2 linked regions of the Lytechinus pictus genome follow. The protein of the gene in region 1 purifies or fractionates together with the protein of each later gene. This does not show direct contact. Links are inferred from orthologs where the notes say so. Each region holds a gene or a part of one and is shown in the gene's direction. Other genes may lie near its edges.

Region 1 (7,801 bases):
TTATAACAAGCCCTCTTTCTTGTTCTTATCACGCTTTGAGCTTCGCCCTATCAAATGCTCGGGGCACAATCATAATATATCCTGTTCATACAATGATATGACCGGGATTTTTTTTGGCTCTTGCCCCCCCCCCCCCCTATCCACCGACCCCTATTACGCCCCTGGGGGGGGGGATGGGGATGAACCATTGTTTCTCTCCCCACTTGAATATTTTTTTTTTTCTCTTTAAACCTCTTTCGAGGGACTTTATTTACATCTCTATAATACAGTTTACAAATCACAAAGTATATACAGTAATCAAATTAATCAATCAATAAATGAGTTCCAGCAATTTGTCAATTTCTTTTGTATTCTTATTTTTGGTAACATATTTTGAACTTAAATACCATCTCAGTTTCATTTTCAAATTCATCCATAATCTATTTACATTAACAAAGTAATAACCTTTTTTCATACTCGTTTCAATATAATTTCTGTAAATGGTGTATTGAGTAAAATTCAAAATGATATTAATTAACCAGTATTTCGGTTCTTGTATATTCCAACCTAAAATTACTATATTTTCATTAACATAGACCCCACTTGAATATAGTATCCCATGATTTAGCCTATGCAGAGAGAATGTATAGAGACGGAGCAAATTTTCTTAACAAAGGATATATATCCTATTCCTAGATAATGACACAATTTCAGCACTTTTGACAAATTTAAGACCTTAAGTTTACAGCATAAGTATTGGTATATTCGTCGGTAGTTGGAGTAGTAGTTATGGCGCAGTCACATTTGCCATACGGCGGCCGTATGGCGAGTCGAAAACAGCCGTTTCAACATAATTATTATACCAGCTAAATAGGTGTTTGAATAAAAATGAATAAATGGCAGTTTTCGACTCGCCGTACGCTGCCGTAGGGGAAATGTGACTGCATTGAGATATACTGTTGTGCGAGGGACCCAGTGTTGCGACCGAGCAAGAAAATAAAAGCTTTAAAACACTTGACGACATGAATGGAGTAGGGCATAAGCGGCGGAAGTGGAAGGGGGGGGGGGACGCGTCCCCCCTAAATTTAAGTTGGGGGACAGTCCCCCCTAAAAAAGAGAGGAAGAAAAAAAGAAAGGAAGGAAGGAAAGAAGAAAGAAAGAAAATAGGAAAGGAAAGGAAAAGGATAAACGATAACAAGTGTAGGCCTACTGAACAGCTGAAACATTATAAGAATTTAAACCTATATAAAATAGCGAAAAATTAAAGTTTTACTATATGGAAAATAGTACACAAAGTTTAAACTCGTTTCTTATAGGACTTTGTTCAGAAAAAAATTGACAAGCAATTTTTTTTTCGCACCAAAATGAAGGATGTTTAGATCAATTCTATTTATTTATTACCCTTGATATGATAATGCGATGCTATAAGAAAAAAAATATAACGAATAGTAGTGAAAAGACTGGAAACACAAAAAATATTGAAAGAAATAGATTTGTATCTGAAAATGCGCGCAACTATCCAAGCTCACTCTCTGCGCTAGGCTAAGATCGCATTTCCTCAAAAAAACATGTATCAGCACAATGGCTGTTTTACATCATGGTCCTGAAGGACAAAATATAATCAGTGAAATAAATTAAATATTCATAGGATTAATATATTAGCAACAAAGCGAATATAATATACAAACAAACAATATAGCAAAACTTAAGAGTACGACAAAAAGAAGGTTTAAATCAAGAGAAATGTGACAAGTCGAGTTTGGAAGTACAAACAATAATTGTTTGAATGTCTGAGAAATAGAAACATAAGATGAGAAATAGAAACGACGGAGGATTGAGTAATAGTCGACTCCAGGGATGGAGCGAAAATAAAGGGGATTGGGAGTCAGAGAGAAATGAAACAATTAAGAAATGCAAGAGTAATGAGAAGAGGAATATTAAGAAGGAGAACATTGAAACAAACTCAAAACATTTTAGAATGTAACTAACATATCAAATATGATAAAAAAGTAAACATAATTATTCTAGTCATTGTAAAAAAAAACATGTGATTGAAGAGTAATATAAATCTTATTTAAAAATATTTATGTTTATAATTTCTCTTGAACGAGTTGAGGGTTTGTTGATTTTGTAATTCATTTGGGAGAGAATTCCACGATTTTGCACCAGAGTATTTAAAGGACTGTTTGAAAAGTTCGGTATTTGGTTTGGATAATTGAATAAGAACTATCAAAATCAGAGCACGATTAATTATTGTACTTTAGGTTTATATATCATCAGTGATTTTTTTTTCCAATTTTTATATATATCTAAAAGAAAAAAAAAAAAAAAAAAACATGGTTATTGGTTGTTGCCTAGTCTTATATCTTTAAATAAAAAAAATTAATGAGATTAACTTGACAATTTTACTGGATCCCACCCGACGCGGGCTTCCCGCTACGCGAAGAATTAAAAAAAATGGAAAAGAGGAAGAAGAGAAAAATTAGAGGAAGATTGAAAACAAAAGAGAAATGTGAATGAAATAAGGGGAGGGGAATACTTAGAAAATAAAAATGAAAATTTTGATCGCGCTTCGCGCTCGCATTCCCTGTACAAGAAGATAATCTGCTCACGGGGATAACATGGAGCTTTGAATATCCCATTTTAAAGTCAATATGCACAAATTATTTTGCTCGCGAATCGAGTTTTCATTGCATTCTGTTCTTGCTTTAAAAAAATACGTATTCTCTTCACGAATTACAGCAAAAAAATGCATTAAGTGTTCCCTTTCCAATTCAGTATATCACTTATTTTCATCTCGCTTCTCACAATCGCATAAAATGTTTAGTTGGATATCCATCCTTTTCATGATTACCAAAAGTGCTTAGAATGCCTAAATTTTAGGTCAGAATATAAAAAAAATTTAGCTCACGCGTCGCGCTCGCATAAAATGTTTAGTTAGATAACTATTCTTATTCATGATTACCAAAACTAAAGTGCTTAGAATGTCCAAGTTTTAGGTCATGATATCAAAGTTTTTCAGCTCGCGCTTCGCGCTCGCATGATTTTTTTTTAATAGATAGATACCCATCCTAGCTGTTCAGGGTCACAAAGAATGTTTAAAATCAAAATTTTAAGTCAAAATATCAACATTTTTCAGCTCGAGCCTCGCGCTCGCATGAATCGTTTATATACATGTAGATACCCATCCTGTGCTTAGCCGAAATATCCAGTTTTGGGTTTGGAATATCAATAATGTTTAGCTCTCTCTACGTGCTCGCATAAAATGTTTAGTTAGATACCCGTCTTGCTCATGATCACCAAAAGTGTTTTAGAAATGCCAAAATTTTAGATCAGAATATATATTTTTTTTCAGCTCGCGCGTCACGCGCGCAGCATCAATATTATTGTTTAGATACCGTAAGGGCACTAGTATTCAACCCGTTTGGAGAGTTTCCTCAAATATATAGAAATATATAATTTACCTGAATTTCAGACCCGTCTTACTTCCAAGAGCAAATTCTGGTTATTCTTTTTCCGTTATTTTTTTCTTCAACCCGTCGACTGTGTGCGCGGGCGATCGAATTATACGGTGATGGTTTTTGGCACTAGTATTCAATCTGTCGGCACTAGTATTCAACCTAGCGATGGAAGATGGCCCTGTCTTTAAATCTGCCCTTGTTCCATCCGACTATGGACTAGACCAATTGAGATGAGACTAAACAGGGAATTAATCAAAGCCAGAGACTTACATAAATCTAGATCTAATTTAGCAATCTAAACCATTTTGAAATTAGCCATCTATCATCACTATCATCCCAGCCATGGCGTAATTTCCTTCGGCAAGAAATTTATCCACATTGTGCTGCACTCAACCCAGGTGAGGTGAATGGGTACCTTGCAGGAATTTATTCCTTGAAATGCGTGTGCGCTGTAATCTTAGTAATTACGGCTGTCAAGCTACAGCTCGGGTAATAATATCCAAGTCCTTTGGAAGCGCATAGAGACATTATTCATAATTGTGATATGCGCTATACAAGAACTGTTTATTATTATTATTATTATTAGGTTGAATACTAGTGCATTTCAGTGCAAAAGGTCATCGCCGCATTATTCGATCCTCCGCGCATACAGTCGATAGATTGATAAAGAAAATACCGACAACAGATTACACTGGAAATAACAAAGGTATGAAATTAAGATAAATTCCCTATTTCTAAATATTTGGGGGAATTTGTCCAAATCTTTGAATTATGCCAGGTTGAATACTAGTGCCCATATGGTACCCAACCTATTCATGGTTTTAAAAAGATAGCTAGAATGTCCAGTTTCATGTCAAGTCGGAATATCAAAAATTTTCAGCTCGCGCTACGCGCTCACATAAAATATTTCTTTAGATACCCATCGTGTTCATGGAGGGGGGGGGGCGCCATTTTCCGAAAAGTACACAGGAGCACCAAAATCAGGTTGGGCCCCGGGTGCAGAATCATGGACGCCTACCTTATCAGATGTCTAATCTTGTTTTTTTTAAGAAAAAAACTAATATGTACTTAAGACTTCAGACTTCAGTGGGGGCTACCCCCTGAACAAAAAATTAAAAAGTCAGGTTTAACTTAGCAGTCGACTGGGGGAAAATGTGGGTGAAAATATTTTTTCCGTCCCCCCCCCCCAAATGTTGATGCCTCCGCCGCCAATGGAGTAGGGCCTATATTATACCAGTGTAATTTGTATTTGTTTTTATTTTTTCTTTGGGGTCGGATTTTTTAATTTTTTTAGGGGGGGGGGGGGTTGAGTCCCCAAAGCTCCCAACAACCACTCGTTTCAGTTCCTATTCTTTCGTTGTTTTTAATCGGCAGTCTGGTATGACAACGTACGTAACCGGCTGGCCGGAGGAAGCCCCGCCCCCACACAATTGGCGTTCCATAAATCAGTGGCGCGATCATCTTGTCATTCTTGCTTCTCCTGCCCGCTATTTACTTCTAAACGTAAGTTTATTGGCGGTTTTGATCGACTTAATTGTGCCGGTTTATTCACCAGTATGTCATCGGTAAAGTCAGTGAAGGTAAGTGTACATGAAATACCTCGACTTGTTCTTGGTTCTGATTAGACTTTGAAGACCGCCTGCGCGAGTTTTATAGCCGTAGCGTAGCCTAGGCGAGGCCTAGGGACGTCCGGACCCCTGCGGCTCCGGACTGTCCCGAGTCGGAGGACGGCACGTACGGTACAAACTGGTTATGCCAATGGTATCGTGCCGGAATGCGCGGTTCGCCGCGAGCCTTGAGGACTCCATGATATTTTTTAATATTTTGACATATACTTCTTTATCATGGAGCCTAAGTTGAACCGCCTGCCGTATAATAAGAGACACTTGTAGTTGTTGACATGTTGTAAACAAAGATGGATTTCCCTAGGAAATCCATCTTTTAAGATAAAAATCACGTAGGTCCTAGGCCTAAATGTTTTTGATTTTATTTATTTTTACACCTTCATTCATAGTACGCATAAATGCGTATGATTGAAGATTTCCAAAATTGGTTAATGAAAAGGCGAACTATTGAAGGTTTCTTACCTGACCGATCTCGTGTAGATCCCTCGATCCGTTTGTCAACAAAGCAAATACAATAGGTCTGACCCTTGAACCGCTTCGTTATGACGTACCTTCGGCTTTGATTAGCGATGTTACAAAATGCCGTTTTGAAGAACAATTTATAGATAAAAATTATTATTTAACAAATACTAAAATTAAGACGTGATTAGGAATAACAATTATTATTATAATAATTATTACTAATCACGTCTTAATGACTTTTTTCTCAACTTGGTCATCATGTAGGCCTATGTGGAAACTTGCAAACTATCTCATATTATTTTATTTGAAGTAGAAAATTAACAACCTTAATGCACTTACCAGATAAAAATATTTTACAGAAGTAAAGTGGGCATGGCAACAATTAAAAATCTCAAATTGCCCAAAATTACTTATGGCGCACTTTGGTTATGCCCTGGCCCACTGTGCCTCGATTCACTATCTGTAGGCCTACATTTTTGTCATGAAAAATTGTAATTGATGCAAAAAGTAAATTTACCAGGAATACTTTGTACTCCAATGCAATGATCAGTAACTATTTCACTAATTTTTCATGCTTTTATCAGTTTGAAAATTGATGATTTGAAACCTGACTATTTCTTCACTCATAGATTCACTATCAATTAAAAAACATCACAATTGCAAGAAGGCCTGGCCAGCAGCCACGGCAATGCTTGCGAATGCAATGCTTTCAATTTGGTAGTGAATTTAAACTGTGACAAAAAAGGTACAGTTTTTTAATATGGTAATCGATTTCAAAACTGATAGAACATGGAGTATGACTTTGGACCAGTCATAGTTTTTGCACACTATTCTCATTGAACTGTGCAGAAACTGGTTGGAAGCCTTATCCTGCATTCAAATTAAAAAAATTGCCCATTGTTTCCACCCAAAATATGTATAAATACGAATTATATGATTTAGAATGTAAAGGAGTAAACAATCTTTCTATTTTTTGGGAAGGGTTTAGTTGGACTGGTTACAGGTGGTGCCTCTGGTCTTGGGAGGGCTACTGTGGAAAGATTCTTAAGAAATGGAGCCAGAGTAGTCATTGTAGATCTGCCAAACTCTCCCGGTGAAGAGCTAGCTAAAAGTTTGGGAGATGACTGCAAATTTTCTCCTGGTGATGTAAGTATAAAATTCTTTGGAGAATATCTTATATTTCCTGAGTATTTTACCTTAGTTACTTCATTATTTTTCTAATTATTCTCAATGAAGGTTGCTGTAGAAGAGACAATTGCTATAAAAGACAAGTATTCAACCTCTTTGTTCAATGATGGAAATGATTTTTACTGAATTGTATGAATACATTGAAATAATTTTATGAATGAGTCATTTATATTGTAGCAATGATTAATGCTTGAATTAAAGCTTAACTAGTTTAGTTCTGGATTTGAATTTGAATAATTGAGTGAACTGCCTCAAAATAATTGTGAAAGGGTGTGTGTAATACACCTGAAGAACTACCAAAAACGTTAGCGAATTGACTCAAACACTAGCTTCTAAAGATCAAATCAACTGCACACAGATGAGCATGTATCATGTATGGAACTACACCCGACTTTGGAAAAAGGTTCAAGCTGCTTTTTGTTTTATTTTGAAGAGCATCCTTTGCTATGAAGTGAACCATTTTTTAAAATTTTCCTAATCATTATCAAAAGATTTTTATAGATCCAATTCTTTCCATCCTTCCCACAACTTTTGTTTATCTTGAAGCTCGAACCTAATTTTTAGAATCAACATATTTTCCCTTGTAGTACTGTTCAATGTTGATTGCAATTGATGTTTAGAAGCAAACATAATTTGCTCTGAATACCAAATCTGTTTCCATAATTGAGTCATGGGCAAATTGTACATCAGAAATTAATCTTTATAAAAATTCCTGCTGCACATTTGCAGCAAAATAGTGTATATTCTGAAGTTTTGCATTATTTGAATTTCCATCAGGTCACTTCAACAGATGATGTAACGAAAGCCATAGATACTGCTAAGGAATCGTTTGGACGTCTAGATGTAGCTGTAAGCTGTGCAGGCATAGGTGTAGCGGCCAAGACCTACAACTTTAACAAAGACCGACCCCACCCACTAGAAGAATTCCAGAGGGTCCTGATGGTCAACACGGCGGGTACCTTCAATGTAGCAAGACTTGCTGCAGGAGCCATAGGTAAAAATGAGCCCAATGCTGATGGAGAAAGGGGGGTAATTATCAACACAGCCAGTGTAGCGGCCTATGATGGACAGATGGGTCAGGCAGCA
Region 2 (7,086 bases), about 19 Mb from region 1:
GCCATCATAACTTTGAAAGTTTATGGATAGAGTGAATGAAATGTGGACATGGGTGTAGTTGACAGTCTTAAGTCTCCGTTCAAATGTCATTTATGGTCAATGAACGTGGCATTATGTCATTATATGAATGATGTTTTTGTGAATGATTATTTTATAGTAGTTTTCAAAGTTAGCACTGCTGCTATATTAAATTGCGTAATGCAGGCGAGACTGCCAGAGGCGTTCCACTTGTTTAGTTTCCAGGGGTCTTTTGACCATTTCAAGAGCTATATCACCTAAAGGCCCCATGTATTTTTCCATTTGTATCTGCTATCATAATTTTGATATTATGAGAGAAAGTTAGGTATACTAATACAGTGCTTAAAGGTCAAGTCCACCCCAGGAAATGTTGATTTGAATAAATAGAGAAAAATCAAACTAGCAAAACGCTGAAAGTTTCATCAAAATCGGATGTAAAATAAGAAGGTTATGACATTTTGAAGTTGCTTATTTTTTTCACTTAACAGTGATATGTACAACTCATATGAGACAATCGATGATGTCCCTCACTATTTTTTTTATTTTTTATTGTTTGAATAATACAATATTTCATTTTTTATAGATTTGACAATAAGGACCAACTTGACTGAATCATATAGTATTAATCAATGCTCATTCCACATGTTCAGGGAGGAATTAATCGCTGTTTCACTCGACAATGAGGAGAAAAATAGAATATTCCCTATTTCATATAATAAAATACAAAAGAAAAAGTGAGTGGATGACGTCATCAGTCTCCTCATTTGCATACCCACCAGGATGTGCATATTACTGTCTTGTGAAATTAAGCAAAACTTTAAAATGTCATAACTTTCTTTTACATCTGATTTTGATGACATTTTCAGTGTTATGCTTGTTGGATTTTTCTTTTTTTTATTCAAATCAACATTTTGTTGAGGTGGACTTGTCCTTGTAATATGTCATTCTTTTGATCCCTTTGTGAGTCTTTAGAATCTCTTCAGTTTACTTGACATTGATATTAGTCTTTCTCTTCTCTACAATTATTATTCAAATAGAGTTAATCGAAATTGCTGTTTCTTTCTTATTATCATTCTATAAAGTAAATAATTCATGTTAGAATGTCAAAGATTTGTTTATGCTTTGAATTTTCGTATTTACCTGTAATCATCCATAGACACATGATTATATATATCCCATTTTAATACCACTACTTTAGTTTTATGGCTTTCAATGACTTTATACTGCCTAATTGTTCATAGTCATGTCATCAATGAATGAAAATACATGTACTCAATTAAAGTGTAGTCAATTGAATTTGTATTCCCTTGTATTGCGTTGTATTTTATTGCTATATATTAAAGGAGATTAAACCCTTGAAATAAGTTAGTTTGTGTGAAAGCAATGACAAAGAAGATAAATGAAAAAGTTTTAATTAGAAAGAGCATTTGAATGTTAATGTCACTAATGCAATGGAAATCCATTGGCAATGCAAACAAGATGTTTGATGTCACACATGAAAAACTTTCCCATTTGTGCACTAAAAATATATTGTCCATTCTAATAAGGAAGAACAATTTTATTAATGTTGTAAAAGCTTAGCTGTTCTACATGTCCTCTCATTAGAACTTACATATTTCTAGTGATTTCAATATTCAAATGCTCGTAACTTTATTTTTATTCATTTATTTTTTCAAACTTTCATTGGTCTATTTTTTTATTTTTCTCTTTTAAAAATAATTCAACTGGTTTCAAGAGTTACATTCTTCTTTAATTGCAATGAAGCATGTGAGGAACTTTAAATGTCTTTCCATTATTACACAAATGCCTTGTATAATCAATTTGCGATTGCATTGTTGGTCCTGCAATATTAAAAGGCAATAGTACCCAACATTCCAACATTATGTCCGCTTTCTTCTTGAGGTATATAAAATTGCTTGTAGCTTCTTCTTGTCTCTTCATTTTGCTTAACATATCTATGTATATAAGCATACATAACGGTAGAAACGTTTGTATGCGAGAGTGTTTGTGAGTGTCTGTATGTGTGTCAGGAGTAGGTGTGTGTGTTCATAGTTACTTGCAATAGTTTAATAATTATCCTAAAGCATGCATGCTGGAAAATAGGCCTGTATACAACATAAGAATTACCAGAGTCTGGCTGCCCTGAAAATAGTAGGTCTACATTCTCACTTGTTTTTTTTTTCAGGAAATAATCTAGCACGAACTAATATTTCAGTCCAGGGGAGTGTTTCACAAAGATTGAAGAATGACTAAGAGTTGCACTTAAATTCCGACACATACATGATATGCAAGCGCAATCTTATTGATCAATACGCAGTCCTGCGCGTCCTCTTGGCATGATCTGACCATTGCGGTCATGCCTTTAATACTGCACGCAACTAGCAGAGGCGTCGATCCTGGGGGGGGGGCAGGGGGGCGATCGCCCCACCAATGAAAATATCGGGGGGGGGGGGGCAAACATCGTTTTGCCCCCCCCCCACAATAATTCCGCATGTACAAAAATAAAATAAGATTGTAATGTTACACATAAATTAGCAAGCGAGATCGAGATACACAAGTCGTTCTTTATTTAAAATCGTGCTCAAAATGTCCGCTTTTCAGATTGGAATATACACATTTTCAGCTCGCGCTCGCATCATTTCTGTAGTAAAAACCCATACTTTTCAGGATTAAATAGGTGAATAGAATGTCCCGTTTTCAGTTCTAAACCTAAAAAAAAAACTCGCGCTTCAATTTGCAATAATCTTTTGTTGGATATATATCTTGTTCTTCATTAAAAAGTCATTTTTTCAGATTGAAATATCAAAATCTTCAGCTCGCGCTTCGCGCTCACATCTATTGCTCTTTTAGATACGTCCCATCCCGGGGGGGGGGGGGGGGGGCACTCGACCAAAAAAGTGGTAGGGGTGTGCCGCGGGCGAGACAAAAAACGGGGGCCTTGGAGCGGGCTTATTGTAAAAAGGAGGGTCCTCGGAACGGGCTTTGGAACAACAAATATTTGTGAAAACGGGGGTCCTTGGAACGGATCGCCAGCGTGTGAGTGCGTATGCATCCCTATATGGAACGGGCATGCGTGCATGATGCAGCTAGCCCGGGTGCGCTCGCGCAGAGGCGATGGTCGGACAGCGCTCTGCGGCCACTTTTCACCAAAATTGCAGCTCATTGTAGCAGATCAATGCGACCGGAACGGCATAACGAAAAATATGCGAAGCTTTGGAGCGGATTTCTTCTTTTTCCTCGATAAGAAAAAAATGCTATGCTTTGGAGCGGCTTTCTTTGTTCTTTTTCTCAATGAGACCTCAATGAGACAAAAATGCTATGCCTTGGAACGGAAATTTGAGTGTAAAAATGGGGGTCCCCTCCGCGGCACATACCCACTATGCATTATAAACTGAGTGCCCCCCCCCCCCTCCCCCCCGTCCATCTTAGTCATTGGTACCAAAAATCCTTAGAGTATCATGCTTTCGGGTCAGAATTTAAAGAAATTTCAGCTCGCTCTCAGCACTCGCATTATCTGTGTAGTGATATATGTATCCTCCTCATGAGTTACTACAAACAGTCCTAAACAGGTACCTTTTTCCTATTTTCAGATCATTGTAAATATAAATTTCAGCTCGCACTCGCATTAATTTGTTGGTGAGATATGTGTCTCTTTCTCATGAGTCACATATATTTATAGAGAGAGAGGCCTATGTGTGTGGGGGGGGGGTGTGTGAGTTAGTTTGTTTTGTGTGATCGAGCGCCTATTTGGAACGTTGATTCATGATTTTGCCCCCCCCCCCCCCCCCCCATCTGAAAAATGGATCGACGCCCCTGGCAGCTAGGCATTTAAGAGCGAATCTTTGTGAAACACCCCCAGGTGGGTGTTTCATAAAGTTGTTCGTAAGTTAAGAGCTACCGGTGAACCTTAAATAAATAATCACCAACGAACATTTAAATGGTCCATATATGTCATTTACCGAAAGAAAGGATCACCAGTCGTTCTTAAAGTCGCCTTATCAGCTGATGAAACGGCTCCTGGATGGACCATATACTAGTATCGTGTTGCGTTGACGCCCTCTAGTGTTAATTGATGAAGACAAACTGTGAAATCTGAAGCGGACGACGACGCGTCGTCTCCGGAATCTTGATAGTAAGTTTAACGATCCTACTGGTTTTAACCCAAAATATTTGCATGTACATTGCCGTTTATCAGTTTTACTTCAAAATACAAAGTAGGCAATGAAAATCCTAGGAGTAAGCACTGTGCTACTCTTAGTCTTACTTTTCTTTACTAGAGTCAGACTCAGAGGTCACTCGATCTCCTTGCACGTGCATGACATGCCCTTTTCTGCTGCTCCGCCGCCTCGCCCGGGCCCTTGGCCTCGCTTCGGCAGCGGAGTCCCGGGAGCGGAGCGTATCGTGCACTCGGTAATGTAAAGCCTGGCCTGGCCCTGGGCCCCTGGGGTGGTATTTCGCTAGAAAAGTTACGTGTTTAGGGTCAAATTTGCGGGGATGATTAAACAAAATTAAAATATTTTATAAAGGATATCCTTTTGCCACAACACTTCGTGTTTAGAGTCCGATTTGCGCGACGTGCGGAAGGTGGGTTCGTACTAAACCAAATGATGTGTATTAAAAGGTAAAACCAACGACCGAAGGACCAGTGACAAACTATTCCTGTACTTGTTTAGGGGTATATTTCAGGGAATACTTGCCAAGAGTATCGTTTTGTTTCCAATACTTGTTAAGGGTAGGGTTTCACATGCCAATACGTGTTATTTTCTGTTAAGGGGTGCATTTTCAATATGGAAAATACGTGTTTAGGGTGCTTTTCGAGACCCCATGGTTGCGCATGGTATCCACTTGTCAATGGAAGTGGCCCCCCCGGGGCTACACCGGGACAGTGAACTAGATCGGATATTCCGAGTCATAAACGGTGGGATGGCAATCATGGTTATCGTAAAAATTAAAGAAAAAAAATACAACGAGGGATATGAATGACTTAATATCTTACTCTACACCCGTATTTCACTCCGTGTCCATCCTCTGGTTATCCTCAAAATTGGTGATTTTGGGCCAGTATCTTTTTCCTCACGTATTATTCACGGCCGATTTCAAAACATCGCATGCGATCGCGATTGGTTTGACCTGCGACCGATCGCAATCGCATGCGATGTTTTGAAATCGGCCGTGAATAATACGTGTAGGGTGTCTGGAGAAAAAAATTATTTTTCTTATTTCAAGAAAATATCACATTTTCTTTGTGAATTTGAAGAGAAATTACCTTCAGACTGACAGAAATGTAAAAATTTCGAAAAAAATCCAATTATTGGCTGCAAAAAAGAAGAATGAAATTAGGTAAATTTTCAGCATTTCTCTGCCATAGACTGTGTAGTTAAGAAATGGACACACACAAATCCAAATTTTTAGCTTCCGAGAGCTGTTATATATTTATTATTAATGCCAAAAACTTGTCCATAAAGAGTCCAATAGGATTTTTTATGCTCTATCTGATGGTATGATTTTCATAAAGATTTGGAAACCAGATCACAATGAAAAATTGCGACAAAGTTAAAAAAATTGTGCAAAACAGAAATTTCATTTTCCCATAGAAAACGCATGGAGAAATGGCAATCTCAACACACACAAAAATAAGGGTTTGCAATTTATCTCTAAATCCTTATTTAAAATGATCATATAAACTTGTCCTTACTGTCAACAGATGCCCCTGAATTTTCTCTTTCCATACATGCCAAACACAAGTTAATAATCAATTCAGATCACATTTTTCTAGTAGCCTGAACTTCCCTGAAAAAATGTGCCATATTTTCCCCTAAATTAGCCTGTTTTATGCTGACACTTTTCAGTGTGGCTTCAGACACCCTAATACGTGTGAGGAAATAGATACTGGCCCAAAATCACCAATTTTGAGGATAACCGGAGGATGGAAACGGAGTGAAATACGGGTGTAGAGTAAGATATTAAGTCAATCATCTTTTTCGTTACATATTTTTTGTTTAATTTTTAAGATTATCATGATTGCCATCCCACCTTTGTGACTCGGTATATCCGAAATGGTTCACGGTCCCGATGTTCGGGTAGGTGGTGCGGAGTGTAGCGGTAGTGAAGTGGAGTGGAGCCTGCACGAACATCGCCCGAGGTAGAAAGCTAGAGTCTAGACTTCCTTGTCTTGTTCGAACCTCTCGCTGCAGAACAAAGCATCTCCAGTCTGTCACCTTACTGAGCTAGCAGGAATAGTTGAAAGCCATGGGTTTCATAACGGTTATCAACCGATGTTACGACTAGTCAAGACAAGAGTATTGGGTAGTAGAGTCTATTGTTTTTCTGACTAAATAAACTGATGCCATGATTGGGAAGGTTTCAAGCTACACTGACTGCCTCCTTTAATCCTGAAAACTCTTGCAGTATTGTATTACCGGGGACCGGGAATTACACACACTCGAGATTTTGACAGAATAAAGCCATATTTTGGTATGTATCCATCTTTTCCATCCTAAATCTCTTGGATATATGTTTTAGATTATTCTCGATAAACCTCCATATTTTTTATTCAATTTTTAATAGTGGAGGGGATATACATTTATGGAAGTCTTGCCAATTGGCATTCTGGAAATTGTCTAAGTTATGACTTATCTCTGTAAGGATGTCACCTATTTTATCTCTGACACCATGGACACCACGCCCAATATTTCATTAACCAATCATTACTGCTTGTTATATGCTAGGTCAACCAATAGAAGCGTCTCTTCTGAAAAAATAAAGCGCATTGCTGATATGAGGCGTAATTTCCTTGCGCCCCCGACGCTTCTGCTTGTGCGCTTCTGTGCTGAAAATACATGTGACTCTTTTCAAAGACATATTTTCTCTGAAAGATTATCGTCTCAAACTCCAATTTTTAATTGCTGAAAAGTCTACCAATCTGTCGTTATAATGTCTTTGGAATGTCTCCTTTTGTAAAACATGATGTTCTTGCAGGATGCAGCAAGAAATAATTATTGCAGCATACAGACAGACAAATATCGCATGCAACAATAAGTTACAATAGCCCCCTACATGTACCTCTTG

Evidence for each region. Proteins that work in one complex are often made in the same cells at the same time.
Region 2: the proteins of 3-hydroxyacyl-CoA dehydrogenase type-2-like (region 1) and tRNA methyltransferase 10 homolog C-like purify together in Homo sapiens (co-immunoprecipitation; 3 studies listed by BioGRID and IntAct, counting the BioPlex papers as one, with this or other methods). This does not show direct contact. The link is inferred for Lytechinus pictus from reciprocal best matches to the Homo sapiens genes HSD17B10 and TRMT10C.

The regions. Positions count from the first base shown.
Region 1 is NC_087247.1:37,436,919-37,444,719, forward strand, and holds the start of 3-hydroxyacyl-CoA dehydrogenase type-2-like, read left to right. Parts: upstream 1-4,790; 5' UTR 4,791-4,996; coding exon 4,997-5,020; intron 5,021-6,508; coding exon 6,509-6,673; intron 6,674-7,492; coding exon 7,493-7,801. UniProt on the Homo sapiens protein: Mitochondrial dehydrogenase involved in pathways of fatty acid, branched-chain amino acid and steroid metabolism. Acts as (S)-3-hydroxyacyl-CoA dehydrogenase in mitochondrial fatty acid beta-oxidation, a major degradation pathway of fatty acids.
Region 2 is NC_087247.1:56,837,209-56,844,294, forward strand, and holds the start of tRNA methyltransferase 10 homolog C-like, read left to right. Parts: upstream 1-4,067; 5' UTR 4,068-4,150; intron 4,151-7,086. UniProt on the Homo sapiens protein: Mitochondrial tRNA N(1)-methyltransferase involved in mitochondrial tRNA maturation. Component of mitochondrial ribonuclease P, a complex composed of TRMT10C/MRPP1, HSD17B10/MRPP2 and PRORP/MRPP3, which cleaves tRNA molecules in their 5'-ends.